Linked DNA regions of Sus scrofa. The protein of the gene in region 2 interacts with the protein of the main gene of each other region in a pairwise test. Links are inferred from orthologs where the notes say so. Each region holds a gene or a part of one and is shown on either strand. Other genes may lie near its edges. The genes, in order: HCK, MTUS2, TSHZ3, LNX1, PRPF31, WAC and KIFC3.

The links.
Region 1: the proteins of MTUS2 (region 2) and HCK interact in binary tests that used the Homo sapiens proteins (3 or more experiments, as listed by UniProt). The two-hybrid records come from large-scale screens. The link is inferred for Sus scrofa from reciprocal best matches to the Homo sapiens genes MTUS2 and HCK.
Region 3: the proteins of MTUS2 (region 2) and TSHZ3 interact in binary tests that used the Homo sapiens proteins (3 or more experiments, as listed by UniProt). The two-hybrid records come from large-scale screens. The link is inferred for Sus scrofa from reciprocal best matches to the Homo sapiens genes MTUS2 and TSHZ3.
Region 4: the proteins of MTUS2 (region 2) and LNX1 interact in binary tests that used the Homo sapiens proteins (3 or more experiments, as listed by UniProt). The link is inferred for Sus scrofa from reciprocal best matches to the Homo sapiens genes MTUS2 and LNX1.
Region 5: the proteins of MTUS2 (region 2) and PRPF31 interact in binary tests that used the Homo sapiens proteins (3 or more experiments, as listed by UniProt). The two-hybrid records come from large-scale screens. The link is inferred for Sus scrofa from reciprocal best matches to the Homo sapiens genes MTUS2 and PRPF31.
Region 6: the proteins of MTUS2 (region 2) and WAC interact in binary tests that used the Homo sapiens proteins (3 or more experiments, as listed by UniProt). The two-hybrid records come from large-scale screens. The link is inferred for Sus scrofa from reciprocal best matches to the Homo sapiens genes MTUS2 and WAC.
Region 7: the proteins of MTUS2 (region 2) and KIFC3 interact in binary tests that used the Homo sapiens proteins (3 or more experiments, as listed by UniProt). The link is inferred for Sus scrofa from reciprocal best matches to the Homo sapiens genes MTUS2 and KIFC3.

Annotation. Positions count from the first base shown.
Region 1 is NC_010459.5:35,728,868-35,733,098, reverse strand, and holds part of HCK (tyrosine-protein kinase HCK), read right to left. Parts: intron 3,013-4,231; coding exon 2,970-3,012; intron 2,336-2,969; coding exon 2,233-2,335; intron 1,403-2,232; coding exon 1,304-1,402; intron 1-1,303. UniProt on the Homo sapiens protein: Non-receptor tyrosine-protein kinase found in hematopoietic cells that transmits signals from cell surface receptors and plays an important role in the regulation of innate immune responses, including neutrophil, monocyte, macrophage and mast cell functions, phagocytosis, cell survival and proliferation, cell adhesion and migration.
Region 2 is NC_010453.5:6,198,816-6,203,046, reverse strand, and holds part of MTUS2 (microtubule-associated tumor suppressor candidate 2), read right to left. Parts: coding exon 2,982-4,231; intron 1-2,981. UniProt on the Homo sapiens protein: Binds microtubules. Together with MAPRE1 may target the microtubule depolymerase KIF2C to the plus-end of microtubules. May regulate the dynamics of microtubules at their growing distal tip.
Region 3 is NC_010448.4:41,344,385-41,349,389, forward strand, and holds the end of TSHZ3 (teashirt homolog 3), read right to left. Parts: coding exon 2,732-5,005; 3' UTR 1,082-2,731; downstream 1-1,081. UniProt on the Homo sapiens protein: Transcriptional regulator involved in developmental processes. Functions in association with APBB1, SET and HDAC factors as a transcriptional repressor, that inhibits the expression of CASP4.
Region 4 is NC_010450.4:40,261,982-40,266,212, reverse strand, and holds part of LNX1 (E3 ubiquitin-protein ligase LNX), read left to right. Parts: coding exon 1-360; intron 361-4,231.
Region 5 is NC_010448.4:55,994,046-55,998,237, reverse strand, and holds the end of PRPF31 (U4/U6 small nuclear ribonucleoprotein Prp31), read left to right. Parts: intron 1-664; coding exon 665-792; intron 793-869; coding exon 870-942; intron 943-1,499; coding exon 1,500-1,628; intron 1,629-1,719; coding exon 1,720-1,818; intron 1,819-2,759; coding exon 2,760-2,885; 3' UTR 2,886-3,151; downstream 3,152-4,192. UniProt on the Homo sapiens protein: Involved in pre-mRNA splicing as component of the spliceosome. Required for the assembly of the U4/U5/U6 tri-snRNP complex, one of the building blocks of the spliceosome.
Region 6 is NC_010452.4:40,012,638-40,016,868, forward strand, and holds part of WAC (WW domain-containing adapter protein with coiled-coil), read left to right. Parts: intron 1-2,655; coding exon 2,656-2,774; intron 2,775-4,231.
Region 7 is NC_010448.4:19,661,751-19,665,290, forward strand, and holds part of KIFC3 (kinesin-like protein KIFC3), read right to left. Parts: intron 2,345-3,540; coding exon 2,214-2,344; intron 1,399-2,213; coding exon 1,275-1,398; intron 1,150-1,274; coding exon 1,020-1,149; intron 934-1,019; coding exon 704-933; intron 381-703; coding exon 246-380; intron 1-245. UniProt on the Homo sapiens protein: Minus-end microtubule-dependent motor protein. Involved in apically targeted transport. Required for zonula adherens maintenance.

The DNA.
Region 1 (4,231 bases), on a different chromosome or scaffold from region 2:
ACTGGGATCCCAAAGACCTGGTATCTGTTTTGCGCAAAGCTTCTTTTGGGGGGAAAACAGCCATTCTTTTGATATTAAAAGCTCCCCGGCTTGCGGCTTTGAACACTTACAAAATCCTGCACTGTACCTCACCCAGAGCGGGAGCAGGGCACGGATGCCCCAGAGAAAGCCTAGAGGGAGACAGAAATGGCTGAGACCCCCTGTGGCTTGTAGGGGCTGTGCTGGGGGAGGTCCAGGACAGAAGGGTCAGCGATGGCCGTGGGGGCTTCACTGTGGCCACAGAGGGGAGATTCCACAGGACAGAGAGGTTTCATGCACACTAAGAAAGGGGTGACTTTAAGATGGGAAAAGCCCAAACGTTTTAATTTTTAACAGGCCAGCATCCCAAACCCACAGTACCATCTAGCTAGAGGGAGGAAGCAAAGGAGAAAAAAACATGGGGTCAGTTTTCAACTGTTTGGCTGATTCTGAACTGGGTCTCTTGCCACCTTAGAGTAGAGCCATCTTTTTATTTGTCGGTCTCACCCCAAACTGTGAACATCTCCAGGGAGGAGCCCTCCCTGAGTCACCTAGTACCCCTGGAATAGGGCTGGGGGTACGGGAGGTCCCCAGCAAGTGTCTGTGGGATGACCGGGTGGATGGACAGATGGATGGACAAATGAAGTATAATTCTATGTTTTCAGAGTCAAGTTAGACACAAAGAAACTGCAGCCAAGAATGAAGGGTTATTGGGCTCTCCTTGAGGGCTGGGGGTGTCTCATTTGTTCTGCAGCCCCCAGCCTGGCACAAAGCTAGGTGCGGCACAGGCACATGTTTGCTGAATGAGTCACATGAGAGATGACGCCCTGGAGTGAGCTGGCTTGGCTCTCAGAGGACCCTCTCTAAAGCAACTGTATACTTTATCCAACAAACATTCATTGAGCACTGACTGCATGCCAGCCTGTGCAGGGGATGCAGCAGACAGGCAAGGTCCCTGCTCTCGTGCGCTCCCCTTCTCGTGGGGGAGCCAGACAGTGAACCTGTGAACAGCCAAAGAAATAAGATCGTTTTTGCTCATGAGAAGTGTTCAAAAGGGAATAAAACCAGTTTCCATGAGAGAGAGAGTCACAGAGGGGACCTGCTTGAGACAGGGTGGCCCAGGAAGGCCTCTCTGAGACCTGAAGGATGAGAAGGAGCCAGCCAGCAAAAAGCCTAGGAAGAGTATGCCAGGCAGGAGAGACAGTGACTGCAAAAGCCCCAAGGTAGGAACAAAGCTGACTCTGCCCATGCTTCCTTCTGGTGGGCAGGGAAATAGAATACTTACTCCTCTGTCTCCAGAGAGTTGACGCGGGCAACATAGTTGCTTGGGATGTAGCCCTCGTTCCGGGTGGCGAGGGATCGAGCTCTCCACCACTCCCCAGACCTGGGGGACAGGGGCAACAAAGGGGTCAGGGGGCAGGAGAACCACCCCTGGTCCTCTTGGGCCCCCAGCCTTGGCCTAGAATCCCCCCAACCCCAGAAAGCTGGTGGGATGAGGGGCGGGGTCACTAGAGTCCCAGCCCCCAGTCTGCACCCCATGATTAAGGTAAGTGTCCTCACAACAGCCCCCACTCTGAATCCCTGGGTCCATCTAGGGCTGGAATCAAGCCCTGTCCCCACATTCATAGCCCACAGCTCTAGCCTCACCTTTATTCTCTGGACTTGTGTCTTTTGCCTAATTCTCCATATGTGAGATGGGGCCCTGTGCTCATGGCAGATTCGCAGTAGCCCATTGGGGCCAAGAGCCAGAGGGAGTGGGCTCAGGAATCTGACCAAGCATAACCACTCCCATCCTTGGGCCCCAATATATACTGGACACTACAGCCACGGCTGGTGAACACTGCAGGAGGTTGGAGGTCATCAACTCAGCGATCCATGGATTTCTGAATGCAAAGTCACCTCAACAACGTCTGGTCCATAGGTAAGTCTACAGTTTAGTCACAGGTGCCTGAGGAAGGCTTCCCCGAGAAAGCCTTTTCAGCTGTCCATTCTTGCCTGGATGTGTGACATTGGCAAGTGCACAAGCCCCTTTATTGTGGCTTTAACCCAGCTTAGCAGGAAACCCTTCTTCCTTTATTGGTAATAGGTTCTCATTAGTCATTTACACTCTAGTATAATGTAGTCTATCAAGTTTTTAACTGAAGCACAAAAGAGAGCAGAATTGAGTGTTAGAGATGGGTATGTCTTGGGGCAGGGAGTGGAATGAGGACTCACTCCTCCAGGACCACCATCTGATCCCCCTTCTGGAAACTGAGGTCTTCATGGTGAATGGCCTCGTAGTCATACAGGGCAACCACAATGATGTCCTCAGAACCTGCTGGGAAGAGAGACACATAGGATGGTAAGGCTTTACGTGAGCATTCCCACAGCCCTGGGTGTTTCCCACCCCAACACCTGGTACCCAGCCCTATACCCCCTCATGTGTCTGTCTCACGGTATATATAAGTAAGCATCTTGGTGTGCTGGGTGTGATTCTAGAGTTTAAAGCTAGCGAAGTTTTTGAGTTCCCATTGTGGCTCAGGTCAAGGACCTGATGATGTCTCTGTGAGGATGCAGGTCTGACCCCTGGCCTCACTCAGTGGGCTAAGGATCTGGTTTTGCTGTAAGCTACAGCATAGGTCACAGATGCAGCTTGGATCCAGTGTTGCTATGGCTATGGGGTAGGCTGCAGCTGTAGCTCACATTTGACCCCTGGCCTGGGAACTTCTGTATGCCACAGGTGCAGCTGTAAAAAGGAAAAAAAAAAAAAAAAAAAGAAAGAAAAAGCTAATGGGATTTTGTTCACGTTACGAAACAGCGTTATAGAAACACAATAGCCTATAAAAGTACTTTGGGGGCAGTTTAGGGGATTTTCAAGGGTGGTTGGGATTTTTGCCCCAAGCTCTGACTGAGAACCTAACCTAATTCTCTTCATACTACAAGACCACTGCACCTGTTTGCCAGATACTTACCCTCTGTGGCCTCGGGTGGGTTGCTTTGGCTGCTGTCTGGCCACTGTGGGGAGAAATGGGACAGGGGGTTGAATCCAATAGTGTGTATGGAGCCATGAAGGTCCATGTCCAAAGGATATCCCAGCCCTGTGTGTTGTGGGAGGAGGCCCAGAGAGGGCTGTGGAAGTGCCCGAAGTAACACAGCATATTAGGTGCACAGCCAGCATAACAATGAAGGTCTGGGAGTTCCCATTGTGGCGCAGCGGAAGCAAATCCAACTAACAACCACGAGGTTTCAGGTTCAATCCCTGGCCTTGCTCAGTGGGTTAAGGATCTGGTGTTGCTGTGGCTGTGGTGTAGGCTGGCAGCTGCAGCTCCAATTGCACCCCTAGCCTGGAAACCTCTATATGCCTCAGTTGGGGCCTTAAAAAGCAAAAAAAAACCAAAAAACAAAAAACAAACAAACAAAAAAACCAAACAAAAAAAAAAAACAGATGCAGGTCTCTCAGCTTGTGGGCTCTGCCTTTAGCCTTGGACATACTGCAGGACACTGACTTGTTCCTTCCACTCAACATACAGTGAGGGGGTTGGTCTAAATCAGTGCTTTCCAAGGCATGTTTGAAGAAGCCCTTGGTCTACCGACATGGCCCCAAATAAAGGCTCCACTGTGTATATTAAACAACCTAAGTATCCATCCAAAGGGGAGATGGCGCCTGTGCTGCGGTGCTCAGGCAGCCCTAATAAGAGGATGCTGCTTCGTTCCTGGCACAATTAGACCTCAAAGATGTATTATTTTACTTTTTATTTTCGGCTGTGCATGTGGCACGTGGAAGTTCCCCGGCCAGGAATTGAACCCACGCCACAGCTGTGACCCGAGCTACAGCAATGACAGCGCTGGATCCTTAACCCCCTGAGCCACCAGGGAACCAGAGATATATCGTTAGTGAACAAAGCTAGTTCTTCAGAATTCTAAACAGGACACATGGACATAAAACATCCTTCACTCATCTGGACACATACTGAACACCCTGGAATGGAAATTCATGAAAAAAGGTTTGCAAGGGTCCACACCAAACTGACAAGAGCCTCTGCCTCTGGGGTGGGGTGTGGTAGTTCTTGGTCAGCAGAAACCATCGCTTTAGCTGTAACTTGTGATTTTTATTTTCAAGGAAAATGAATTTATGTGTCACACACATAGGTAAACATTAACTTAAAGAAACAGGGTTAGGAAACCCTGAGAATTATGTCTTTTGGGGAGAGATTCACGAAGCCCATTACAAAGA
Region 2 (4,231 bases):
CCCACCCCGCTGTCATTCAAAAATAACTTTAATGTTTTCAAGAGCTTCAATGTCTATCATTTTGTTGGGTAATTTGTCTCTAGTAAGATAACAAATTCTTTACAAAGGTGAGACGTATGCCTCAGATGCCTCATCTGTGCACTTTTAATAAAACAAGAGAGTCTACAAAAAGCTTCACATGCTTTGCTTTCATCTCTATTGACAGGACAGAGCAGGATTCACTGCAGTCACAAATGCAGACAGATTCAACCCAAATGGGGCTTTTCTCTCCTTCTCTAAAGGAGTCTTTCTAGAGAAATAATTTTGAAAGCAAACTAAAGCATCTTTGTGATTTCAAACTTCTAAAATCTCTCAAGTCACACAAGGAACTAATAAGTTCTCACTAGATTGTCCCCCTTCCCGTTTGCCCTGTCCTGTTCTCAGGGGACCATGGGCCGGGGAGACACCAGGCAAATGCTGAAGCTTCACTGGGACAGGTGCAGGGAGAGGGCTGGGGATGGCTCATGGTGTCACCTTGATAGGCAACGCAACTCAGAGAGTTGGGCAAGGATTATTCCAGATGTTTCTCTGAAGGTAATTTTTTTTTCTTTGGATGAGATCAACATTGAATTCAGTAGACCTTAAATAAAGCAGATTACCTCCTGAGGTGGGTGGGCCTCATCTAATCAGTCAAAGGCCATAACAGAAAAAGACTGACCTCCCTCAAAGAAGAGGGAAATCTGCCAACTGACAGCTTTTGGACTTGAACCGCGGCATCAACACTTCCCTAGGTCTCCAGCCTGCCAGCCCACCCTGCAGATTTTGGATACGCCAGCCTCCATAACTGTGGGACCCAATTCCTTACAGTCTCAATAGATAGAAAACCAGGTACACACACCCATGCCTGTGTAGACGATCTGTTTCTCTGGAGAGCGCTGGCGGACAGCGGCCCACAGTGATGAGGTGGTGCCAGTGAGGGGAGGGGAGTCCAGCCCCCCCCACCCCTCCGCACACCTGTATCCTGCAAGCACACTGCCTCACCTGGTCCTCAGCCCTGCTGCCCTCCTCCTCCTCCTCCTTATACCAGTCCCTGATGCCAGGGCTCCCCGAAGGTGTCAATAGGAGGAGGTGCCCCCAAGGCCTCAGGAGAGCCAACAGCAGACAGCAGTCTGGACAAGCAGGCCCACTTTATCACCCTGGCATGACTGACCCAGGATGATCTTCAGAGCCACTTCTGAGGCTAAACACAGATGGGGAGCCTGTGGGTTCCATCAGGTCATAGCTTTAGGAGCAAAGGCCAAAGACCACCCTACTCTCCGAGTTTGATTAGACATCTCCCCAGAAATGAGCTCACCACTAACAGGGGCTCGGGCTTCTCTGCTCTACCCGGCAGCCTGAGGAAAGGGCCTGGGCCTTGGATTATGGCAGAAAATGGCCCTCAGCAACAGCAGGTGGCACGCAGTGACACTGCTGTCCCCACACCAACAGGGTCTCTCCAACCCCTCCGAGCGCCTAAAGCCACACAAACACCCATTCCCTCCCATTTCCTGGAGCCTCGGGGTGGCTTCTAGAGAACTGAGAACAGAAAACATTTGGGGGAAAATGTGCCTCTAACATAGAAATTATTCTATATTTCATGGAGGGAGTGGAAGCAATAAAGAAAAGAAACATATACAAGAAAAATTAAGAAAGGCCACAGAGAAAGGCCTGCAGCTAGTAACAGGATTTCTGCCTATGTCTCCAAATAAAGTTTCTCTCACAAATGTATTTTTGCAGAGAAAAATCCAAGGGACCTTTTGTGTGCGTGTGGAGGGGGTACCTAATTACTTTATTTGAACCACCGGAGCAAAGGAAAGTCACCAATAAAGCGACATTTGAACAGAAACCTACAGGAAGTGAAGGGCAGAGCTACTCAGATCATCTGGGAGAAGAACAGCCTGAGCAGAGGGACGTGCAAAGGCCCTGAGGCAGCGGGGGAGGGGAGAGGAGGAGAGGCGGTCTGGAGGCAGGAGCCAGACTGAGTGCCTCCCAGCGGCTGAGCCACCCTACACGCTCCAGCCCAGGGACAGAGCGGCCTGAAGGGGGTCAGGAGAGGAGAGATCGGGTCCCACTCCTAACTGATCCCTGGCACAAGCCTCCTGTCTGAGCTCTGGGAGGAGGCCCCGCCCCAGCGCCCGGTACGGAGGAGCACAGTGAGGAGAGCAGGAGGGCCTGGGAGGGCCTGTCAGCACCGCCCTTGCTTCGCGGCCTTGGATGAGTCACTCCAAGCTCTCTGAGTCTGCTTCCCGCCTGGACAACCGTAACAGGCACCGTCTAGGGGACCACTGCTGGGATTAGGGGGGACCAGCCAAGACAAAACGTGGTGTGATGTGGGCCCCAGGCATAGCAGGGACTCAGCTGAGTGCTGGCTGTTACTGCTATTCTGACTTAAGACAGGGCCCGCACCTAACACCTTATTTTCTAGTCGCTGTGCTGCTGACGTGGACAAAAAAGAACTTCTCCCGTGGGGGACATGGTCCCCCTTAAAGGGACCTAGAGAAAGTGAAGGGCAGAGCTGTTCCGATCAGCTGGGAGAAGGACAGCCTTCCTCCAGTCTCTGCCATCCTTAAAGGACAAAGCTGACCAATCTGAACAATATGTTTATCTTGGATTTTTTTCCATTGACCTGGTTTACGGGCGAATTACGCTCACATGGTTAAACGAGGAAGCCCACTTACATGCATGCTCCTCTAACGCTCCTGCATTTATTCTGTCGGGTAGAATTTAAATGGGTCTCTTCGGATCCATCAGCTTCCTCTCCTTCTGATCATCAAACTCTTCTCATGGGAACTGGCCATTTGCCTCCCGCCTCCTCTAGTTACAGATGTCCATTTCTACACACGCCCATCCGCCACAACCTGCACTTTGCTAAGAGGACACTCTGTTCTGACCCTTCACTGAACACACATAACGAACGCCAGGACGTGCGACTCACAGACCGGGCCACAGCGACCTTCTCTTACCTCCTGCAGAAACTTTTCACTCATTTGACCGAAGGGGTGTCCCGGGGGCTTGATCCCAGACACCACCAGCCCGGAGCTGAACACCCGGGGCCTCTGCAAGTCCGGCTTGAACTTCTCGTAGAGGCCGGCCGCCGGCTTCAGGTCCCCGCCCGCCCCCTTCTCCTCTTTGGGGAGCGGCACGGCACACGCGGGCGGAGCGTAAGGAAGGCCCACGGGGACCAGCGACGCGTCCACCTGGCCCAGGGCCTGGGGGCCCCTCCTGATGTACGTGATGATCTTGGGCCTCACGGGCTTGGGCTTGGGCACGATCACGGCCTTGGGGTCCGCCCTCTCCTCCGGCTTCTCCGGCTGGGGGCCCTCCAGCCCCTCCTGCGAGGCGGCCACAGGCTTGGGGATCCCGGTGGGGCAGGCGCCCTTGTCAGGCACTTTCGGGGCAGCGAGTGACAACCTCGCGCTGTCGGCGGGGGGCGGGGCAGCCGGGGAGGACCCCGCGTCCACACTCCAGGCGCCCGGGTCCTGAGCGCGGCTGCTGGGGGGTGGAGGCTGGCGGGACACAGTCACAGTTGTCTCTGGGTGGAGGGGCACTGGGACCCTGAGAAGGGGTTCTGTTCTCGCTGGGGTGCTTTCAGTCTTAGCATTTTCTAGACGGTCCCTAGTCTCGACAGGGCACGCAGGGATCTCTGTGCCTTCGCTGGCTTCTGAGGTGCTGCCGGGAAGGGGCTCAGGGACCCCAACTTTGCTCCCTCCAGTGGAAGGGTCTGAATTAAAAACTCCAGGGCTGTTCTCGTTCCCAGGGCCCAGGACCCCATTCTCCGCCCTGGGATCCAAGGGCCTGCTGTCCCTCGAATCATCAGGAGTCAAAGCCACGTGACCATCACCTGCTGAAACGCGGCTGGATGCCACAGTGTCACCCAGTCTGCTGGCTGCGCTTGGGGAAATTCGACCTATGGGCTGATGATCAGCAGCCCCCAAGGAAGCAGGGCTCTGTGTGGGGGTGCCCTGAAGAGACCCCTCCTCGTTTCTCTTTTCCTGCTCCCTCCTGCCTCTTCCCACGCCCAGTGGGTGGGGACCGCTGTGGGCCAGGCCGCTGAACGCAGCGCCGGAGGCTTCTTGCTGTGCTTCCCCAGCCGGCTCCCTTCTCCCGAGAGGTGACACCACATCCTCCTTAGCACATTCCGGGCCGTCCACCTGGGCGTACCTGAGCTCCTGCCCGGGCCTGGGCTGGACGAGCTTCGGCTCCGTTGTAGGCT
Region 3 (5,005 bases), on a different chromosome or scaffold from region 2:
GAAGCCAGCACGGCAGTCCCCACCTGCCAAAAACCCGTTTTAAACACTAGTGAGGTTCTCGCTCGAAACCCAGAGAGAGAGATGCATTGCCATTGCCGCGAGAAAGTAGAGCAGACAGAAATTTTGGCCTCATCTTGACAAAAAGGGGTGGGGACCCACGGGGGGGGGCGGGGGACGACACGTAGGCGTGTTGCCGAACATCTCTGAAAGGGCTTAATTTAAATTTTTAATAAAAGAGTATTTTTTTTCACGTGGAGGTGTTTTATATATTACACGGATGTAATACATCTCTCATTTGTATAATTCTAGGTTAGGAGCTACGATTCCGCGTAACTGCAGGAGTAGACTGCAATATAGTAATAAAGGTATTTTACAACGTTACATGATGTTCCCGGGGTTTTGTTGGCATGATTTGCCGGGGCTAATAAAAGCTTGTGATTATCATATAAATGCTCTCCCCACTCCTCCCGTGGATGGGTTCACCCCCCCCACCCACCCAGCCCTCCGCCCCTCGTGCTTGAGCACAAGAGAGAGAATGACCCTAGCATTCACCTGCCTGGCTGGGCTGCAGTTTTTGCTCCTTGAAAATCCCCAATCAACAGGATGGAATCACCCGCCCTGTGCCGAGTCTTCCCAAAACCTTTTTTTTTTTTTTTTAATTCCCCCCTCCCCGCCCATCTGCCTCGGGCAGGGCTCAGGGCCCCGACGTCGGCTTCTCTCATCCAGATGGGAGACCCAGCTCCGGGGTCCCCTCCCGGGTCACCCAGTGGGACCGAAGCTCCACTCGCCATATCGGATATCATCGCCGTGCCAGTGGGAATCTAACCTCGGGGGAGCGTCTTCCTTTCTCTTCTGTTTTTATTCTTGGGGGAAATGCTGTCCACACCGCCTCCGAGGGAGTGCTCGCTGCTCTCCAAACCCAAAGTTCACTAAACTCCCCTGATTTACGGGCCGCTTCCGACTGCCAGCACCTGGCAGACACAGCAACCAACTCAGTCATAAACAGATCGCATACAATTTAATTTTAATGTGCTCGTTAGTCGTAGCACATTGCAGACATAATTGTGAACGCAACACAAAATTATAGCAAAAAGACAATTTTAATGCTGCCGTAGAAAAGAGGGTTATATGAAGAGTCACATAATGGTGGTTCATTGTCAACAACAAAACAGGGCACAGAGTGTGTGACAGTGTCTGTGCTGTTTACATGCCAATATTTTATACATAGGTTTTCATATGGTGTCAGCTGTCAGTTACTTCTGCAAATTAACTGCCAAAAATGGAGAAGAACAGAATCACTTGGAGAGCCGGTAACCACGGGTTACCTTTCATAAGCCTAAAGATAAAGCTGCAGTGTGGGATCTTGGGAGAATAATTAGGAAGAACAAAACAGAAAGTTACCAATTGAAATAAAAAGGCATCCTACAATATGGAGTAGCAACCAAGAGGGCTTATAAATAAGTAAAAGAGGTTGTGTCACAGAATGCCTCGTGACTTTTAAGCAAAGTATTACAGTACAAACATTTTAAAGGCTTTATCAATGTTTAGGAAATACAGTACAAGTTCTCTCTCTCTCTCTCTCTTTTTTTTTCTTTTTTTTGTTTTTTCCGTTTCAAATAGACTTAACCCTTTGAGCACTGAGTTTATTTTGAGCGGGTTTGGTTTTTGTTTTTTTTTTTTTTGATTTCTAATAAATACCTTTAAAAATCATCATGTGCAAAATAGTTATGATGCCTGCCATGGATGTATTTCCTGGCCTCATTTATTCAGACTGCTCAAAACAAATGATAATATGATGCTAATAAATATGTATAATTTAAACATGAACCTCTATCAATATAAATGTACTGTATAGCAAAACAAACAATCATACTTTGCTTTCAGATAATGTTTCTGTATACTTTATAAATGCTATCTGTGGTATCTTCTGTATAATTTACAATGTTTGCATGTAAAAAAAAACAAAACCCATAGACCTTAAAAAAAAAAAAAAAGAAAAAGAAATATACACTATACATAGGCACGGCTTCTGCCCAGAGCATAGCAGGTACATAAAACACTGTTGCTATAAATGCAGGAAAAAAAGGTCATTTAACCACAATCACATTTTTCATAAGAGAGTCTGAAATCTATACAATATATACATCTATGTTTCAATGTGAAAATAATATTCTTTTAAATTTCAAGGCGTGTTATACCCCTGCAGACCTGCATAAATGGAGGTTCATATTATTAATTATAACTAAGCTGGTAAGGAGTTTAAAAAACAGAGCTTCATACATTATTATTATTTTATTTTATTTTTTTTTAACCAAATGAATGCAAAAGTGCTTCAAAGTACTCAGAGGGCTAAAGATGAAAGGGTGAAAAAAATGCCGGCACACTCAAGCCGTGTGGAAAAGTGTGCCCGATTTCGTCGTAAATGCTTAATTAAACTGTCTGTTAATGCATGCAGCTTGAAGCATCGGGCGATGCTCACAACTAAATCCCATTGACACAAAGTTCCAAACACTTACCACTGCGTTTTAACCTTCATATTTTACCAGTAACAACAGCTGATTATGCACCTCTATTAAACACTGTACAGTTATACAAAAAACAGTCCAGCCCAGAGTGTGATTCTCTGCAGTTAAAGGGAGAACATGTGCCAAGAACAAGACAGAGGGGCCTGAAGGTGCCTGCAACCGTTTGCCTCCAAGCAAATCACAGTCGTCTGAATCCAAAGCCAACGCTACTGCTTCTCTAGCTCGGAAACGTACAGGAGGTGATCCTCGGGGGACTTCCCGTGTGTTTTGCTGAGGTGAAGTTTAACCGCATGCTTGCTCGCAAAGGTCCGATTGCAGAGTTTGCACTGGTAGGAGGTCCCCAGGTCCTCCTCCGGGGAGGACGTCCCCAGTTTTTCCGACGGTGACTTGGTTTGTGCTATCTGATTGTGAATCTGTTCAGTGGACAGTTTGGACAAATCCCGTAGCCGGAAGCCCAGGTGGGACTCGAGGTGGCTGATGTAGGTGGAGGGAGTCCTGATTTGTGACGCGCAGTCATTGCAAAAGAACACGGGGTGGCCGGTGTCCAAGTTTTTGAGGAACTTTGTTCCACCTGTCCTTCGCAGCTGGTACTTGACGTTGGCCAGCCAGTGGCTGATGGTGGTCATGGAGAGCCCGGTGAACCGGGAGATGTGCATGCGCTCCTGGGGGCTCAGGTCCGACATGACGTACTTGCCCTCCGAGGTCTGCCGGAGGCTGGCGGCGAACTGGGCCTGGAGGATCAGCAGGTGCTGGGGGTTCCAGTTAGACTGGCGGCCCTTCCTCTTCTGCGCAGGCGTCGCCTCCTCGGCCTCCTCCAGGGTGGCGCCATCCATGTCCGACTTCTCGGAGATGCTGGAAGGGGTGGAGGACTTGGACGCGTGGCTCTCGGTCAAGTTCTTCAGCATGTCCGATATATCGGACAGGGCGTTCTCGCGGAGCGGCGAGCTTGACATGAACGAGACGACGGCAGAGGTCTTTGCCGTGGTCGCTGTGGAGGAGGAGGTGGCCGGGGATGTGGACGTGGGTGACAAAAGCACGGAGCCCAAAGAGCCGCCTTTGTCACTCTTGCCTTTCGTCAAGTCAATGGGCTGGTCGTTGTTGACGTGGTAGAAATAGCGGTCCAGGTGGTCCGCCTTCTTGGACTGCAGGGGCGGCGGGGTGGCCACGGCCGCCTTCTCGGCCAGGCTGTTGCTCATCTTGAACAGCATGCTCATGGGGTCCAGGGCGGGCAGGGAGGGCTTGGCGGCCTTGCCCAGGTGGATGTTCATGACCGACTGGAGGGCACTCAGAGGGTTGACGAAGGGCTGTTCGGGCGGGTGGTCGGTGATGATGGCCGTGCTGCTGCTCAAGCTGCTGCTCATGGGCTTCGCCAGGTCCTTGCCATTCTCCAGCGGCTCTGCAGGGGGGCTCCCGTCCTTGCAGCCCTCCCGCTGGGGGCTGGGGCTGTCCTCCTGGCTCTTGAAGCCCCCGTCGCTAGACGCCTCCATCTTGATGGGCTCGCTGACGTCGCTGCTGCACGGGGACGGGGTGGCCCGCTTGGGCGGGGACAGCTTGCCCTCGGGCTCCTTCATTTTCTCCTCGACTTTGGCAACTTTCTCGGTGACTTTTTTCACCAGCTCCTCCATGGCATGGAAGTTGGTCTTGGGCATGGGGGAGGTCTGGCTGCTGGGTGGAGAGACCAGGGTCTGGCTCTTGCTGGGGGACACGATGTCGCTGTTGCCATACATGGGCTTCAGGGGCCCGCTCTTCCCCGCGGAGCCCAGAGACAGCTTCATCATGTTGGGGAGCTGGTAGGCGGCGTGGATGCTGGGGTAGCCCCCCCAGCTGGGGGTGCCGTTCTGGGCCTTGTTGATTGCCGACGTCACTGTGTTCTCCAGGGACTTGAGGATGTCGAGTCCCCCCTTGGGACTCTCTTCCAAGTCATTCTCCGTCAAATAGTGGTACTTGGAGGAGATGTCATATTTCTCCTCCTCCTCGCAGGCCTTCTCCTTCTCCTTGGGCTTCTCCTCGGCGACCCCCTTCTCCTTGTCCGCCTCCTTCTTGACCTCGGCGGTGAGTTTCGGGGAGGTGCTGGCGGGCGTGTTGGAGGGGGACGTGAAGGTGGTGGCAGCCAGGGGCACGGACTGGACCTTCTCGTCCAGCAGGGTGGTGATGCTGGGCGTCACGGGCGTCTCCATGATGGGCTTCCCCTTCTTCATGGCCGAGTTGGTGACCTTGATGAAGTGGCCAGTCACCATCATGTGGGCCGTGAGCTCCTGCAGCGTGTCGTGCGAGCTGCCGCACTCCATGCACTTGAGGATCTGGGACTTGCGGGCCTCGAAGTGCCAGGCGTAGCTGGCCCCGTTCTGGTGGCCGTAGCGGTTATTTGGCGTGATGTACGGGTTGGAGTTCTTCTGAAGCACGTCGTTCGTGTCGGCCAGGGCAGCTTTGGGGGTGCCGCCGGTGGAGTCCGGGGAGCTGGGCAGCTCCAGCTCCAGCGA
Region 4 (4,231 bases), on a different chromosome or scaffold from region 2:
GACATCAGCAACGTGCGTCACAGCTACGCCCTGCGCCTCCTGCGGCAGCCGTGCCATGTGCTGCGCCTGACAGTGCTGCGGGAGCAGAAGTTCCGGAGTAGGAATGACACGCCGCCCCTGGACACCTACGGGCCCCGGGATGACAGTTTCCATGTGATCCTCAACAAAAGCAGCCCCGACGAGCAGCTTGGCATAAAACTGGTGCGCAGGGTGGATGAGCCTGGGGTGTTCATTTTCAACGTGCTGGATGGTGGTGTAGCGGACCGCCACGGTCAGCTGGAGGAGAACGATCGGGTATTGGCCATCAATGGACATGATCTTCGGTACGGCAGCCCGGAAAGCGCCGCGCATCTGATTCAGGTGGGTTCCTCGGGGTTCCAAAGTCCCGGTGGGAAACTGCCAGCATGAGCAGGAATGCTCATCACCCTGCCCCATCTACCTGGTTACTGCCCCATGTGACATAGGGTGACTCCCTTTCAAGGAGTCAAGGGTGAAGGGTCAGGTAAGAACATTACTCCAGCAAATGGGTCTCTCAGGGTCATGGCCATTATTACATTGGTGTTGCCAGACATCCAGTCTGACTGCAGGTAAATACACTGGGCTCTGTGTTGCAAGCTCACCAGGTTAAGATCACTCAAGGCTGGCCGGGTTGTGTCATCCTTGTACCCAGTATGGTAGTCGCAGACCCAGGGGTCACTCAGACACATTCTGGACACATCCAAGGCATCTAGTTGTACTAATTCCCATAAGAAGCTGTGTGGTGGCACCCTCCAGGCATCTTGTGGACTAAGGTTGGCCAAGCCTGAGCCTCATCTTCATGGCTAAGCCCAGACCCCTTGGAAAGCCCAAGGGAACTCAAATATGAAGCTAGAGAAGCCCGCCATAAAAGAGGCATTACAAATGATTATTACTCAGGCAAGTTCACAATAACCTGAACTTGGTTCAAATTAATTCACTCTCCTGATGGATGTGATTGCTACCAAGTGCCAGCATGCATCTTGTTGACTCTGACTGGGTCACCATGAGGTTGTCTAACATTCACTGAGCTGCCAGTTTTATCCCTAGAGGGACAGGCTTTGTCCTGGACTCTTATATTCTGTTCCATTTATCCACTTCATTTAGCCAAAATGTATTCTGTTTTTGCTGCTTGCCTAGCCCTGGGTTAAGTGCAGAGAACAGAGGGGTGATAACCTCTTAGGCTGCTCTCCCAAAGGAGCCCACCATCTAGTAGAAGAGGTGACTTTTTCTAAATAACTGCTGTGTGGCGTGATGATGCGTGATGGAGAAATTAAGTATAGCGCTGGTGCAGACAAAGGAGAGATTTTTTTTTTCCTTGGGTGGGGGTCTAAAAATCATTCACAGAGGAGAAAAATCTTCAACAGGGATGTTGAGAGGTCAGAAGTTCTCTAGGTGGATAATGTGGAGAGGGTCATTCTAAGGAGATACAACACAGAAAAATATTTCCCCAAAATTCCAGTTGGGCTACATTTTATTTTATTATTGAAATATAGTTGATTTACAATGTGTTAATTTGTGCAGTATAGCAATGTGATTCATTCATTTATATATATGTGTGATTCATATACTCTTTTCTGTTATGGTTTATCTCAGGATGTTGAATATAGTTCCCTGTGCTATATACTAGGACCTTGTTGTTTTCCAGTCTATATATATAATATTTTGCATCTGCTGATCCCAAATTCCCAATCCATCTTTCCCCACCCCACCCCCCTTGGCAACCATAAGTGTGTTCTCTTTTTTTTTTTAACTTTATTTTATTTTTCATAATGATTTTTAATTTTTTCCATTATAGCTGATTTACAGTTTATGTCAATTTTTCTTTTTTGGTCTTTTTTTTTTTTTTTGGTCTTTTTAGGACTGCACCTGCAGCATATGGAGGTTCCCAAGCTAAGAGTCTAACCAGAGCCACCACAGCCACAGCCACAGGATCTGAGCCGTGTCTTCGACCTATACCACAGCTCACAGCAACACTGGATGCTTAACCCACTGAGCAAGGCCAGGAATCAAACCCGCAACTGCATGGTTCCTAGTCAGATTCGTTTCCGCTGCTCCACCACAGGAACTCCTGTCAATTTTCTACTGAACAGCGAGGTGATCCCGTCACACATACATTGTATATTTTTTTCTCAGATCATCATGCTCCATCATAAGTGACCAGACATAGTTCCCAGTGCCATACAGCAGCACGAGTCTGTTCACTATGAGTCTGTTTCTGTTTCATAGATAAGTTCATTTGTGTCATATGTTAGATGCCACCTGTAAGTGATATTATATGGTATTTGTCTTTCTCTGTCTAATTTACTTCACTTAGTAAGAGAATCTCTAGGTCCATCCATGTTCCTGCAAATGGCACCATTGTCTTTAGAAGTGGCAATAGATAAGGCAGGAGTGGTAGGAGACGCCCACATCATGTGGAGTTTTATAAGCCAGGCTAAGGAGCTCAGACTTTATCCCCAAGGCCATGAGGTATTATTGGAAGTGTTTGAAAGAAAGTGACATGATTTTCTAGAAAGATCTCTCTAGAGGCAGTGGAGAGCTGATAGGAGAGGGGTAAGGTTAGAGGCCTTGTCTTAAGATGCGTTCGCACTTATCCGGCACATCATGTCAGCTTCTACTTAGTGATGAAAGTATTAATATTTCAAGTATAGACCAAGCGTCAGTAGCAGTGGTTGACTGGACTTTGTACCAAGTTCAGTGAAGGATGTTAGAAGACAGAGGCTGCCATCAAGGACTTGATGAGCTAAGTACAAAAATATCTCTCTACACTTGGGTCCCAGTCATGATGTTCTTCCAGGTATTGGCAACTCTTTTCACCATCGTGTGTAGTATCTTTTTTTATTTTTATTTTTTGCTTTTTATTTGTTTTTTTAGGGCCTCACCCATGGCATATGGAGGTTCTCAGGCTAGGGGTCTAATCAGAGTTATAGCTGCCGACCAACACCACAGGCACAGCAAGGCCAGATCCGAGCCACATCTTTGACCTACACCACAGCTCACGGCAGTGCTGGATCCTTAGCCCACTGAGCAAGGCCAGGGATTGAACCTGCAACCTCATGGTTCCTAGTCGGATTCGTTTCCGCTGCGCCGCAATGGAAACTCCTGTGTGTAGTGTCTTATCTGTCTTTTTTTGAGGGGAACCAAGTAGCGAATGAAAGTACTGTTATTTTAGATGTGGGAAGCCTGAGACAGAGGGTGCAAAAGGACTTACCTTGCTGCTTCCACCTGCCAGGATGGGAAGCACACATGGTGCTTTGGCCCCTGAGCTGAGGCTTTTGATGGTATCTCAGTTCCAAGGTGATTCTCAACCTGATGAACATCCATCTGCCTTATGAGGCCTGAGGTCATGCCTTGTGGAGCAGGTGAAGAACAGAACCAGAGTTAGAAGAGGCATTTCCTTTCTGGAGTTTATGCCATCTATTTCCAAGTTCACATGCGCGGGCCCAGCTTCTCTGATTGCCACACTTATATATCCAACTGCTCACTTGGTATCCCCATGCAGATGTCTAAAAGGCATCTCAGATTTAATGTCCAAAAGTGAACCCTTGGCTTCTCCCCACTCCATCCCTTGGCAGATCTGCTCTTCCCTCAGTCTTTCCCCATCTCTGGAAATGGCACCATTACTTGGACCAAAAAGAGTCTTCAACTCGCTTCCACATCCCCTCCCTGACTTCCATCAGCTTTGGTCTGGGCCACAGCAAGAGCCTCTTAACTGGACTCCCTGCTTCCACACTCGATCCCCACTCTGCTCGCCACACAGCAATGTCAGTCCCACCATCTCACCTTCTTGCTCTCAGCCCTCCAAGTCTTCCCAAGACACTCAGGTTACAATTCCAAGTCCTTGGAGTTCCCGACTTGTCTCAGTGGTAATGAACTTGACTAGGATCCACGAGGACACAGGTTCCATCCCTGGCCTTGCTCCGTGGGTAAGGAGGGTAAGGATCCAGCATTGCCGTGAGCTGCAGTGTAGGTTGCAGATGCGGCTCGGATCCACAGTGGCTGTGGCTGTGACATAGGCCAGTGGCTACAGCTCGGATTGGACTCCTAGCCTAGGAATTTCCATATGCCGTGGGTGTGGCCCTCAAAAAACCAAAAAAAAAAAAAATCCCAAGTCCTTACAGGGCCTGCCAAGCAATGCTAATCTGGTCTTTGGTTCTCCTTCCAACCTCATGTCTTAAGCAAAGGGGAGAATTTCTGATATTCTCTCCCTCGC
Region 5 (4,192 bases), on a different chromosome or scaffold from region 2:
GTCTGGATGCCGGGGTCCAGCAGTGCACCCGCAGACAGAAGCCCTGCCCCGCGACGTTTCCATTCCCGTTGGAGGCGGGGCAAGGAGACGCAGGCCGATCTGCTGTGTGTCCAGTGGTGCTGAGCAGAGGCTGGGGAGGTTGGACTGACTAACCACATGTCAGGGAGGGCTTCTCCAAGGAGGTGAGGGTTTAGCCTAGACCTGAGTGCCATCAGCCGGGAGTCCCGTGGAGCCTGGGGGAAGGGTGTCTCAAGCGGAGGGAACGGTCAGGCCCAGGCTCTGGGGCTGGAGCACGGTGGGCCCCGGGGAGCGGAGGCTGGCTGGACAGCGCGCTCTCGCGAGAGCCTGGCTTTGGCAAAGGCGCCGAGAGGGGGCCGACTTGGGGTCCCTCCTGCAGGAAGAGCCCGGTGGGATGCTCAGAGGTGGACGGAGGCCAGGGCATCGCCGCCTCCGGACCTGAGCAGAGCTGGCTGGAGGCTGGGGAGGGGGCGCAGCAGCTCTGCCTGGGCAGTTGCCTGTGGGCACAGCGCTGAGAGGAGAGGTCTGAGCGCAAGATGCAGCCCCAGGGGCCAGGGCCTCCAGGGCTGGCTCCAGGTGGGGGTGGCCCCTGGAGGAGGGAGGGCGCCCCGGAATAGCTGCAGGACCCCCGCCTCATCCTCCCCAGGTGGGCTACGAGCTCAAGGATGAGATCGAGCGCAAGTTCGACAAGTGGCAGGAGCCGCCGCCCGTGAAGCAGGTGAAGCCGCTGCCTGCGCCCCTGGACGGGCAGCGCAAGAAGCGAGGCGGCCGAAGGTGGGGCCCAGGGGCCGGCAGGCCAGGGTGAGGGGATGGGCTCGCCCCCTCCCAGCTGACCCCCTGCCCTTCCACAGGTACCGCAAGATGAAGGAGCGGCTGGGGCTGACCGAGATCCGCAAGCAGGCCAACCGCATGAGCTTCGGGGAGGTTGGCCCGCGAGGCCCTCAGGGCCCCCCTCCCCCCGCATCCCTTCCCCTCAGATCGGGGCCACCCCCAGTCTCTGCCCTGGTCCCCCTCCCTCCTTCCTCCTCCGCATCCCTTCCTCTCAGATCTGGGGCCACCCCTCAGTCTCTGCCCTGGTCCCCTGGCCTCCAGTCTCGTCCCACCCCATCCACCCGGCTTCACACAGATCTGCTTCTCTCTCAGCACCAGCCCCTCACCCTGGGGCTTCGCATCCACCTCCCAGGCTCATCCCTCCCCTTCCTCCTTCCCCTGCCCTGCCGTCCGTAGGGCTTCCCTGCCAGGCTCTGTCACCCACGCGTCACGCTACTGATGCTGCAAGAACCAGCTAAGATGCTATTTGGTCAGTGAGGCCTATTTTGGTTCTTGATAGACATCACACACACAGACACACACACACACACACACACACGGCCCCTCTCCCGGGTACCTGAGGAGGTGCCCAGGGGAGCAACTGCTGGGGTGAATGCCGGGCATCTAGCTGGCTGAGGAGCTGGCTGACCCCAGGATGCCCCCACCCCCAGATCGAGGAGGACGCCTATCAGGAGGACCTGGGCTTCAGCCTCGGCCACCTGGGCAAGTCAGGCAGTGGGCGGGTGCGGCAGACGCAGGTGAACGAGGCCACCAAAGCCAGGATCTCCAAGACACTGCAGGTACGGCGGGGCCCCGAGGGGTCAGGGTGGGGCAGCCGCCGGTGCTCAGGCCCTGACCCCAGCCGGCCCTGCTTTCCCTGCCCTCCCACAGCGGACCCTGCAGAAGCAGAGCGTGGTGTATGGCGGAAAGTCCACCATCCGAGACCGCTCCTCGGGGACCGCCTCCAGCGTGGCCTTCACCCCGCTCCAGGTATCGGCTCCACTCCCTTCCCCTCCTGGGCCTCAGCTTCCTTGCCTACAAAATGAGTGTGTGCTGGGGCCCAGGGCACCACGGAAGCCTCCAAAGGGTGCAGCTCCCTTGCCGACACGCAGCGAGGTCACCAGGGCCCAGTTAGTCTCTGACCTCGAGCAGGCTCAGCCCCTCCCTCAGGCCTGGGTCCTCACCTGCAGGGGACTGGGTGGTTGGGGCCACCTTGGCGCCCCACGTGAGAAGGCTCGGATCCCAGCCCAGCCGCCAGTGCACGTCCCTCACCTGTCCACACCTGAGTTTACTCGCCCAGCAGGCAGGGCCCATGTGTCCCACGGAGCATGAGCGTGAGGAGTGACAGCTCATTCACTGCTGAGAGAGTGCCTGCTAAATTCCGAGCCCTACTGCAGGCGTTCGGGTGGAGCCACAGGAGACAGGGAGTCTTGCCCTTGTGGGGCTTATGGGGCAGCAGGGGACAGATAAATAAGATGCATAGTCTGTTGGAAGCGGAGATGTTCTGGGGAGAAAAAGGAGGGAGAGGGGACCCCCAGGGAAGGCCTCTAGGAGGATCATTCAGAGCCAAGCCTGCCACGTGTGGGGTCCCGAGCCGGTGGCAAAATCCTCGGAGGGTTGGTGTGATCCGTGCTGGGAGTGCAGGCAGGCCATTTACTCTTGGGACTGTTTCCTCATTCAGGAACTGAACAGGACCGGCTTTTCTCAAACGGTGGTGTTTTTAAAATCACCTGGGGAACTTGTTAGAAATTCAGATGCCCAGGGCCCCCCCCCGCCCCTCACTGCACCCACAGAGTCAGTCTCTCGACCTGGGGACGTGGGGACTGTCCTCACGTTCGCCCAGAGCCCAAGGACCAGTGAGAAGGGGTTGGGGGGACATCGTCAGGGGCCAGGCCATCTCCCCACCCCAGCCCGTCTCCCTCACTGTCCAGGGCCTGGAGATCGTGAACCCACAGGCAGCGGAGAAGAAGGTGGCTGAGGCCAACCAGAAGTATTTCTCCAGCATGGCCGAGTTCCTCAAGGTCAAGGGCGAGAAAAGCGGCATCATGTCCACCTGAGGGGCGGCGCCCTGGGTGGTTGCCCGCTGAAGGGACACAGAGGCCCCCCCCTTTCTGAAGGGGTCAGGATGGGGCTGGGAGGTGGCGGCAGGGAGAGCCGCCAGGCCGTCGCCGGTGCTGGGATGTCAGGAGGCCCAGCCCCCAAGCACGGAGAATGCCGCCTCCCTCAGACACCAGAGCCAGGCTTCGTCACGCGTCCTTTTTAACTGGGAAAGGAGATACTCTGGGGGGAAAGTGCGATTAAAAGCACATCATCAGGACCTGTCCTTGGCTAGTGATCGTTTGTCAAACACCTGGGCCACTGAGGTGTCAGAGCTGCAAGGTTTGGGGGACAAAGCTCAGGCCCCGTGGAGTCCAGGTCACGCGATCCCAGGAAGAGAACCGCCCTCTCCACGTCCAGGCCCCGTTAGAGAACCTCGGTGGTTCTGGCACCAGAGCAGTGTGGCTGCTGAGAGCCCCAGCTTTCAACGCAGGCCCCCTGGGTGGTCGTGGCATCTTGGGCGGCTGGCCTCTGCCTTCCAGGCTTCCAGACTAACACCACCGGACGCACCCGCAAGCACTGGGGACTTGTGTATGCTGCATGGGACAGCACTTAGCACTGGGCGCACCGTCAAGGCCCTGTGATGGGGCACTGCTGTTATTTCTGTCTAGTGTTTGCCAAGGACTCCCTCTCCCACCCTAGTGTGCCAGGCCGGGGCTGGGGTGGGGCAGACAGGCTCTCTGCCCTAAAAGCAGAGTGCTGCTGGGGGCGCCTGTCTACCTGTGCTGGAATCTGGGTTTCCCAGTGGGCTCTTACCTTGGAGGTTGGCACTTCTCTTTCTCTTTTTTTTTTTGGTTGCATCTATGGCACGTGGAAGTTCCTGGGCCTGGGATCGAACCTGTGCCATGAGCCACAGCAGTGAGAACACCAGATCCTTCACCCGTTGCGCCACCAGGGAACTCCCAGGACTTCTTTTAGTTGCCCAGGAGGTGGGCGCACAGGGCAGAACCAGCCCTGTGGGGAGTGAGGCCTCTTGGGCTTCTCTGTGGGTCTCTTTCTGGCACACTGGGTCCTGAGACCTCTCTGGGACTCCCCTGTCATCACCTGGGATTCTGTGTATCTTTGGACCCCAGTCCCTCCCTCAGCCCAGGGCTTTGTCTCTGGACTGCAGTGGCCCTCTCTCAATTTCTCCCTTCCCTCACCTGAAAGAGTCTGCATACCTGGGAGTTTCATGCATTCTTTCTTTTTTTTGGGGGGGAGGGGGGAGGTTTCCAGGGCTGCACCCACAGCATATAGAAGTCCCCAGGCTAAGGGTCAAAACGGAGCT
Region 6 (4,231 bases), on a different chromosome or scaffold from region 2:
TCTTTGAGTCTTGTTCACAGATTTATAAGCGGTCCCCAGTCATAACTCACTCTTGCTTTATAGCATACCACTAGTAGAACTTGAAGTTGGTGTATATACAAGTTGTAAATTTTTTTTTTCAGTCTTACGGATAACTCTAGGAGGAAATTTTTTTTTTTTTTTTTTTTTTTTTTGGTCTTTTGTCTTTTTCTAAGGCTGCTCCTGTGGCATTTGGAGGTTCCCAGGCTAGGGGTCAAATCCGAGCTGTAGCCGCTGGCCTACGCCAGAGCCACAGCAACGAGGGATCCGAGCTGCGTCTGCTACCTACGCCACAGTCACGGCAACGCCGGATCTCTAACCCACTGAGCAAGGCCAGGGACTGAACCTGCAACCTCATGGTTCCTAGTCAGATTGGTTAACCACTGCACCACGACGGGAACAGTGTTGTAGTTTAGTTGTAAAACAATGGGCTGTTTCAATCTTTTGTGCCAAAGAATTCTATTCAAATAAAATCTTTAGCAGAATCCTAAAGATAAAAATGTATTGAAATGTAGCTTGAAATTGATAGTAGGCCATCTCTGTGGTATTCCCATTGGCTCATCACTTCCCTGCTTCAACCACTTATTTATGCAAGTTTTAGGTTCAGTCTAGATTGATTTTTATTATTAGTACTTTTTAATGATTATTTCCCCAATACAATTTTTTTTTCTACTGTACAGCATGGTAACCCAGTTACACATACATGTATACATTCTATTTTTGCACATTATCATGCTCCATCATAAGTGACTAGACATAGTTCCCAGTGCTACACAGCAGGATCTCATTGCTTATCCATTCCAAAGGCATCAGTTTGTATCTATTAACCCCAAGCTCTCCAACCACCCCACTCCCTCCCCCTCCTCCTTGGTAACCACAAGTCTATTCTGCAAGTCTATGATTTTCTTTTCTGTGAAAAGGTTCATTTGTGCCTTTTATTAGATACCAAATAGAAGTGATATCATATGGTATTTGTCTTTCTCTTTGACTTACTTCACTTGGGATGAGAGTCTCTAGTTCCATCCATGTTGCTGCAAATGGCATTATTTTCTTCTTATTAAGGGCTGAGTAGAATTCCATTGTTTATCTATACCACATCTTCCTAATCCAGTCATCTATCGATGGACATTTTGGTTGTTTCCATGTCTTGGCTATTGTGAATAGAGCAGCAGTGAACATGGGGTGCATGTGTCTTTTTCAAGGAAATTTTTGTCCAGATATATGCCCAAGAGTGGGATTGCTGGGTCATAGGATGGTAGTTCTATATATATATTTCTAAGGTACCTCCATACTGATCTCCATAGTGGTTGTACCAGCTTTTATTCCCACCAACAGTGCCGGAGGGTTCCCTTTTCTCCACACCCCCTCCAGCATTTGTTTGTTATTTGTGGCCTTATTAATGATGGCCATTCTGACTGGTGTGAGGTGGTATCTCATGGTAGTTTTGATTTGCATTTCTCTAATAATCAGTAATGTTGAGCATTTTTTCATGTGCTTGTTGGCCGTCAGTACATCTTCCTTGGAAAAATGTTCGGGTCTTTTGCCCGTTTTCCATTTGGGTTGTTGGCTTAGATTGATTTTTAAAATTTTGAGTTAAAATTGTTTGTATGAAGTTTTTTATTGTTTGCCTGTAATTTGATTGGAGGAGAATTAAAATGTGAATTTTAGCAAGAGACCTTATTCTTAGAGTTTACAACTTATCTTTGGGTCTATCTTAGAGTACAGTGAATGATGACTAAGAAGTGAGATATAAGTGGCAGTGTTAGGTTTACAGTTGGTTATAAAATTGTTTCAAATCCCTTAAGCAGATGGCTATTTTTGCATTTCAAACCTTTCAAGTTGTTTCTAAAAATAAGTGAACATTCGCCCTTATAAAAATGTTCTTTATAAAAGAATATGCTCTTTTCAGAAGTAGCAGTGCTGTCCACATTTGTTTAGGAGAATATTAATTATTGGCGTATGGAAGTTCCTACGCTAGGGGTCGAATCTGAGGTACAGTTGCCGGCATAGGCATAGTCACAGCAATGTGGGGTCCGAGCCGAATCTGTGACTTACCACCACAGGTCACGGCAACACTGGATATCTGACCCACTGAGCAAGGCCAGGGATCGAACGAACCTGCATCCTCATGGATACTAGTCGGATTCGTTCCGCTGTATCACAACAGGAACTCCATAATGTATTTATTTTTATTGATAACAGAAGCAACAGTAGATATGAAGAGGTATTATAGTGTACTGGAAGTAACACTGAACTCAAATCAAGAGAACTAGTTTCTTATGCTGGTTTGCTAATCAAGTAATTTTATGGCCCTGAAATGTTTTATAAAGAATTAGACCCAAGTCTCAAAACTCTTTTTTTTTTTTCTAACTACATGACCTTTGGAGATTCCTTTGACTCTGCTTCTTTAAATCTCTAGATTTTATGGTGTTTTAAGATTTGGGTGTACTTGGCCCCTAAAAGATACTATGGCTGAATCGCTAATGTTAATCTTATTATGAATCAGGTCAACTCCGGTTATCTTAAAAATCTCTGGATAGAGATAAAGTTTGATTGGTAGAACTTTTGCCTGTATCTAGTTTTCATGCTTTTTGCCTATGTGGTAGAATGCTGTCTAATCAGATTTTGACATTTTAGGTTAGTACTCCAGTAGTTAAGCAAGGACCAGTTTCACAATCAGCCACGCAGCAGCCTGTAACTGCTGACAAACAGCAAGGTCATGAACCTGTTTCCCCTCGAAGTCTTCAGCGCTCAAAGTAAGTTGATGTGTGTTGAGACGACATTGTTTTTTCCTTAATACATTATATTGCCATATTGTTGAGATATTATAAATGTATGTATAGTAGAACCTGGTCTTGGAAGAATCCATGGATAGCCTTAGTTCTATGTATTATAAAATTTACAAAGGCAGATATCTTACTGCAATAACTAGATTGTCTGTAGTAGTGAAGCCTGGGTTTTAAAGAAGTGACTTTGTTTAGAATTTTCCTTGGTGGAATATGATCTGAGCAGTATGTGATTACTTATACAAAGAGTGCACATGATTTTAAAATACTTATTAACTCACTGAAATATCGTTTTTAACTTCCTTGTAGCTGTTTTACGTTTGAGTATATTAATGAAGACAAAAATCTCACATCTAAAACTTGGGTCAGTGTTTTCCATCTGTTGTGAATGTCTGTCTGCCTGTCTCTCCTTATAGCGTCAATTCTGACCCTTTGTGTGTTGCTTGTCAGACCTGTATTGTATTGTCGCTCTCCTTTGTTGAGTAACAGAACTTTAAATAATTTTCATATTGTCCTATTTTTATCTCTTGCCACAAGGTGGTAAAATAATTCAACTGTTGTTTTTATTGTTGTTTTCTAAATAAGCATTTCAGAACATTGACGTCCAAATGAGGGTTGTTCCCTTGAAAATTATCACTTTGGGAAACTGTCTACTTCAGCAATGTTGCCATTGCTCAGAATATTTTTTTGGGAAGTTCTTCTTTTAAATTATCTTTAGAGGCTGCAGTATTATTTTAAATATCCTCAGTGATGAAAAGACTTCATTGTTTGGGAGACTTAGTTTTTCTGAATAACTGAAATTGATTCAGAGCCAAGTCTGGTGTGAAGCAGGTAGGAAATGAGCTTAGTGATTAAATTTTTGGTTCTCACCATCGAGTCCTTAAACCACAGCCCAAACCATACAGTTGTAGAAGATAACCAGTCTTAGAGTGTTGCTTTTTTGGTCTTACTTTGCTACTAAACTCATTCATTGTTATGCAATGGAATGTCTGTATTTTGTTTCACATTATTTCACCCTCTGATTCAACAGTTTATTCTGATATTAAACAGTAAAACGCATTGTATTTTTTCCTCTCCATGTTGTCATGCATTTAAGATATCATAAATATGCTTTATTTCTATGACTTTTGAAATGTGACCACTTCTTAGTTCCGTTAGTGTATTTGCAGCACACAGCGTTGATTCTGCTGTCAAATGTGGGAGAGCATTGATTGGTATTTAAATCCAACTCTGACCTTAGTGTTTAAAGGGCTCTTAACCCCCAGAAGTGTATTAGGAATACCTGATATACTTTGGATTTTAAATTCTGTTTATTTGATGTTAAAATAATAAATTTGGATATCTTTAATGAAAGGTATTGATAGACAATTTCTTGGATTCCGTAGAAACCACTTTAAAAATACAGTACATTCAATTGTGTTTTCTAG
Region 7 (3,540 bases), on a different chromosome or scaffold from region 2:
TCCAACCAGCTGATGCCCCTACAGGTACCTCTGAGGCCAGGAAGAAACACCTGGCCTAAAGAGGCTGCTGACTTTGGGCTCAAGTTCAGGCCACTCCCTTGGGCATCTTCGCCTCCTCTTAACTCCAGGCTGGCCTCCTCTTAACTCCAGGCTGACCTCCCCTCCCTGCCCTCCCTCCTGCCCACGAGCGAGCAGGAAGTCTGACCCGCTGGCGGCCAGAAGCAGGCCTGCGATGGTCCCCGTACCTCTAGATGCTCCTGGCTGGACCAAGACCCGAGCTCTGCCCTGCGGGACCCGGGGCCCAGCTCCACGGAGCGCACCCTCTCAGCAAACTTGAGGGAGTAGAGCGTCTCACTGGTGTTCTTCTCCACAGGGGACACCTAGGGGACACAAGAGCTCACTCCCCACCCTGCCAGCCGGCTGCCCTCACAGAACTGGAAGGGGTACCAAAGGGAGCTCACAAGCAAGGGGCTCTAGAAGGTTCCCCAGAGAAAACTGAGAGGGAGGGGAGCCGGAAGGGCAACCGAGGGTGGTGTGTACAAGCACGGGGGGAGGGGCACATGTCACAGACTAGGGAGCTGCTGCTGACAAGGGGCCCTTCCCTCCGCCCGTGGCAGTTACAGGCCACAGGGGAAGGGGGTGGGGCCCTGCTCTTGGAGCCAGTGGAACCCCTAACACGCAGGTGGCCACCTGAGGCCCTCACCTGCACCACCATGAGGGTCTTGCTGTCCCCGCTGAGCGAGTCCTGCAGCAGGTAGGTGAGCTTGGAGTTGCGAAAGGGCACGTGGCCCTGGCGGGAGCGCAGAGCAGCAATGACGTCCCCCAGGGCCGACAGCGACTTGTTGATGTGCTGCGCCTCCCGCAGGCGGCTGCCCTCCGCCCCCGACTTGCCCACGCGCTCTGAGCCGGCCAGGTCCACCAGGTTCAGCTTCCCTGCGGGGAGGGCACCGGGCAGGTTACAGCCGCCCCAGGACGAGAGGCGGGGGTGCTCGGGCCGGGCGGCCGCGGCCCTCACTCACCGGTGGTCCGGAGGCCGGTGCTGCAGTCCACGCCACGCACCGTCACGATGAGCAGGGCGTGCGAGCGCGAGCTGTGCTCGTTCAGGTTGGTGAACTCCGTGGTGCGGTTAGTGTGGCCGAACTCAAACACCTGGGCCGAGGGCGAAGCGGGCAAGAGGCCCAGGGGTGGTCGTCAGGTACCCAGGCGAGGGGGCGTCACCCTCAGCCTGCATCCCGCCCCCAGCCTGTCCTGGGGACAGCGGCGCGGAAACTCACCTTGTTGATGTCCTCCACGCTCTGCACCTGGAACTCCGTCAGCCCTGGCACGTACAGCTGCCCGCTGCCGTTGGGGCACAGCCGGATCTCCAATTTCTCCTGGGGCTCCTGCCCCAGCAGGTCCCTGAGGGCACGAAGGATGGTCACTCCCTCTTTCCAGTCTGCCTTCTGCCGGCACTGCCCCCACCCCCAGCCTGGAATGTTCTCCAACCATCACACTATGCAAAGCTTTCCTAGACGTTCCTTGGGCTAAGGCCCCCCCCTCCCCCGGGCACTCAGTCCACTGAAAGGCAGAGAGATGACAGGATGTTCCCCCAAAGTCTTTTGGTGGTGCTACTCCTGCCCCCACAATGCACTGAGCCCCTGGGGGGGGGCAGGTCTCCCCAAGGTTCCACTCACACTTTTTTTTTTTTTTTTAGGGCATATGGAGGTTCCCAGGCGAGGGGTCTGATCGAATTGGAGCTGCATCTGCTGGGCTACGCCACAGCCACAGCCAGGCAGGATCCCAGCCGTGTCTGCAACCTACACCACAGCTCATGGCAACTCTGGATCCTTGACCCACTGAGCCAGGCCAGGGACTGAACCTGAAACCTCATGGTTCCTAGTCAGATTTGTTTCTGCTGCACCACGAGAGGAATTCCCCCACTCGCACTTGACACCCACCACCTGGTACAGCCCACAGGTAGGGTGCGGACAATCGGAGGGGAAAAGGAGTGCCTGGGTCTGAGAGTGCCAGGGGGCCTCAGAGCCCTCCTCCCTCCTGCCTGCGAGGTGCTCAGAACCTGGTCCCTGGGGCAGAGTCACGACAGGCAGCTCCAGACTCTCTTCTTCAGGGAGCCCCCACCTCGCAGCCCACATACCTCCTCGCAGCCCTGAGGACCAAAAGCTGCCCGGGAGGGCCTGCGCTCCTGCTAAGGGCCCCGCCCGAGGGCCCCTCACCTGAGGACCTCGTTGTAGATCTCGGCCGCGCTGACGGTGATGGTGTACTCCCAGTCGGACGCCTTCTCCTGCACCTCGGCGAAGAGCAGCTGCAGGGCCCGCTGGTTGATGCCTGGGTTCTCAGGGGTCCCCTGGGGGTGGAATCAAGGCCCCAGTGAGCCAGGCCTCTTCCCCACCACGAGGGCTGCCCCATACAGATGCTCACGTGGTGGGCGGGGCCCCCACCTGCTCTGGCTACCCCTCACAGGCCAGCCTCCCTGACCGAGGCTCCCATCTGCATGCAGATCTGCCCCCCAAAACGGCCTCCACCAGCTACAAGCAACTTTATCTCCTTGGGTCTCAGTTTCCACACCTTTGAAATGGCCCCACCTGCCAGGATTGGACCTGAGACTTAAAGCAGAGCCCTGGGGGAAGCTCCTGGCCTGGGCCTGCACACAGGGGCTGCTGATGTGTACCTGGCCCTGGTGTCACCCGGGAGGAGGCATTGGCAATGTATGATGTTCCTGCCACTGCCTTGGGGGTGGGGGAGGGGCTCAAGGTCAGGGAGGCCATGAGCTAGACTCTGTGGGTGGTGCAGCGGAGGCACAGGCAGAGTGGGCAAGTGACCTGAGGCCGGATGGCCTGGCTGGCCTTTCAGAAAAGAAATCTGGAGTCCTTCCCTGAACCTCCCACCCTCCCCAGCCCCCACTTCCACTTCTGCCACTGGGGCCTCCTTGCCAGGCCTCAGTATCTCCAAGTACCCTCCAGCCTGCTGTTCCCTAGGCCTGGAGTGCTCTTCTCCGCACTCCTGGGACTGGCTTAGGAGGCTTCTCCTCCCCCTGAAGGTCTGATCCCTCCCTCACTGTTGGTTCCTCATACCTGGATCAATTTTTCTCCCTGGCACCTGACAGCACACCCCTTGCTTTGCTATGTGCACTGCTGGCTCCCACTGGCAGGATGGCTCTGTGGGGGGCAGGCACTCTGTGGTCACCACTGTGCCCCGGCTCCAGGCACGGTGCCTGATGCACATCTGCCTCAGCAGGGAGGGCTGGGAGGATGGATGCTCCTGGTGGTTACCTCAGCTCTAAGCACCCAAGGAGTTCCCACTGCGGCTCAGCTCAAACAAATCCAGCTGGTATTCCCGAGGATGCAGGTTTGATCCCTGGCCTTGCTCAGTGGGTCAAGGATCCAGCATTGCTGGGAGCTGTGGTGTAGGTCACAGACATGGCTCAGATCTGGCATGGCTGTGGCTGTGGCCAGCAGCAACAGCTCCAATTCGACCCCTAGCCTGGGAACCTCCATATGCCACAGGTGTGGCCATAAAAAGAAAAAAAACAACAAAAAACAA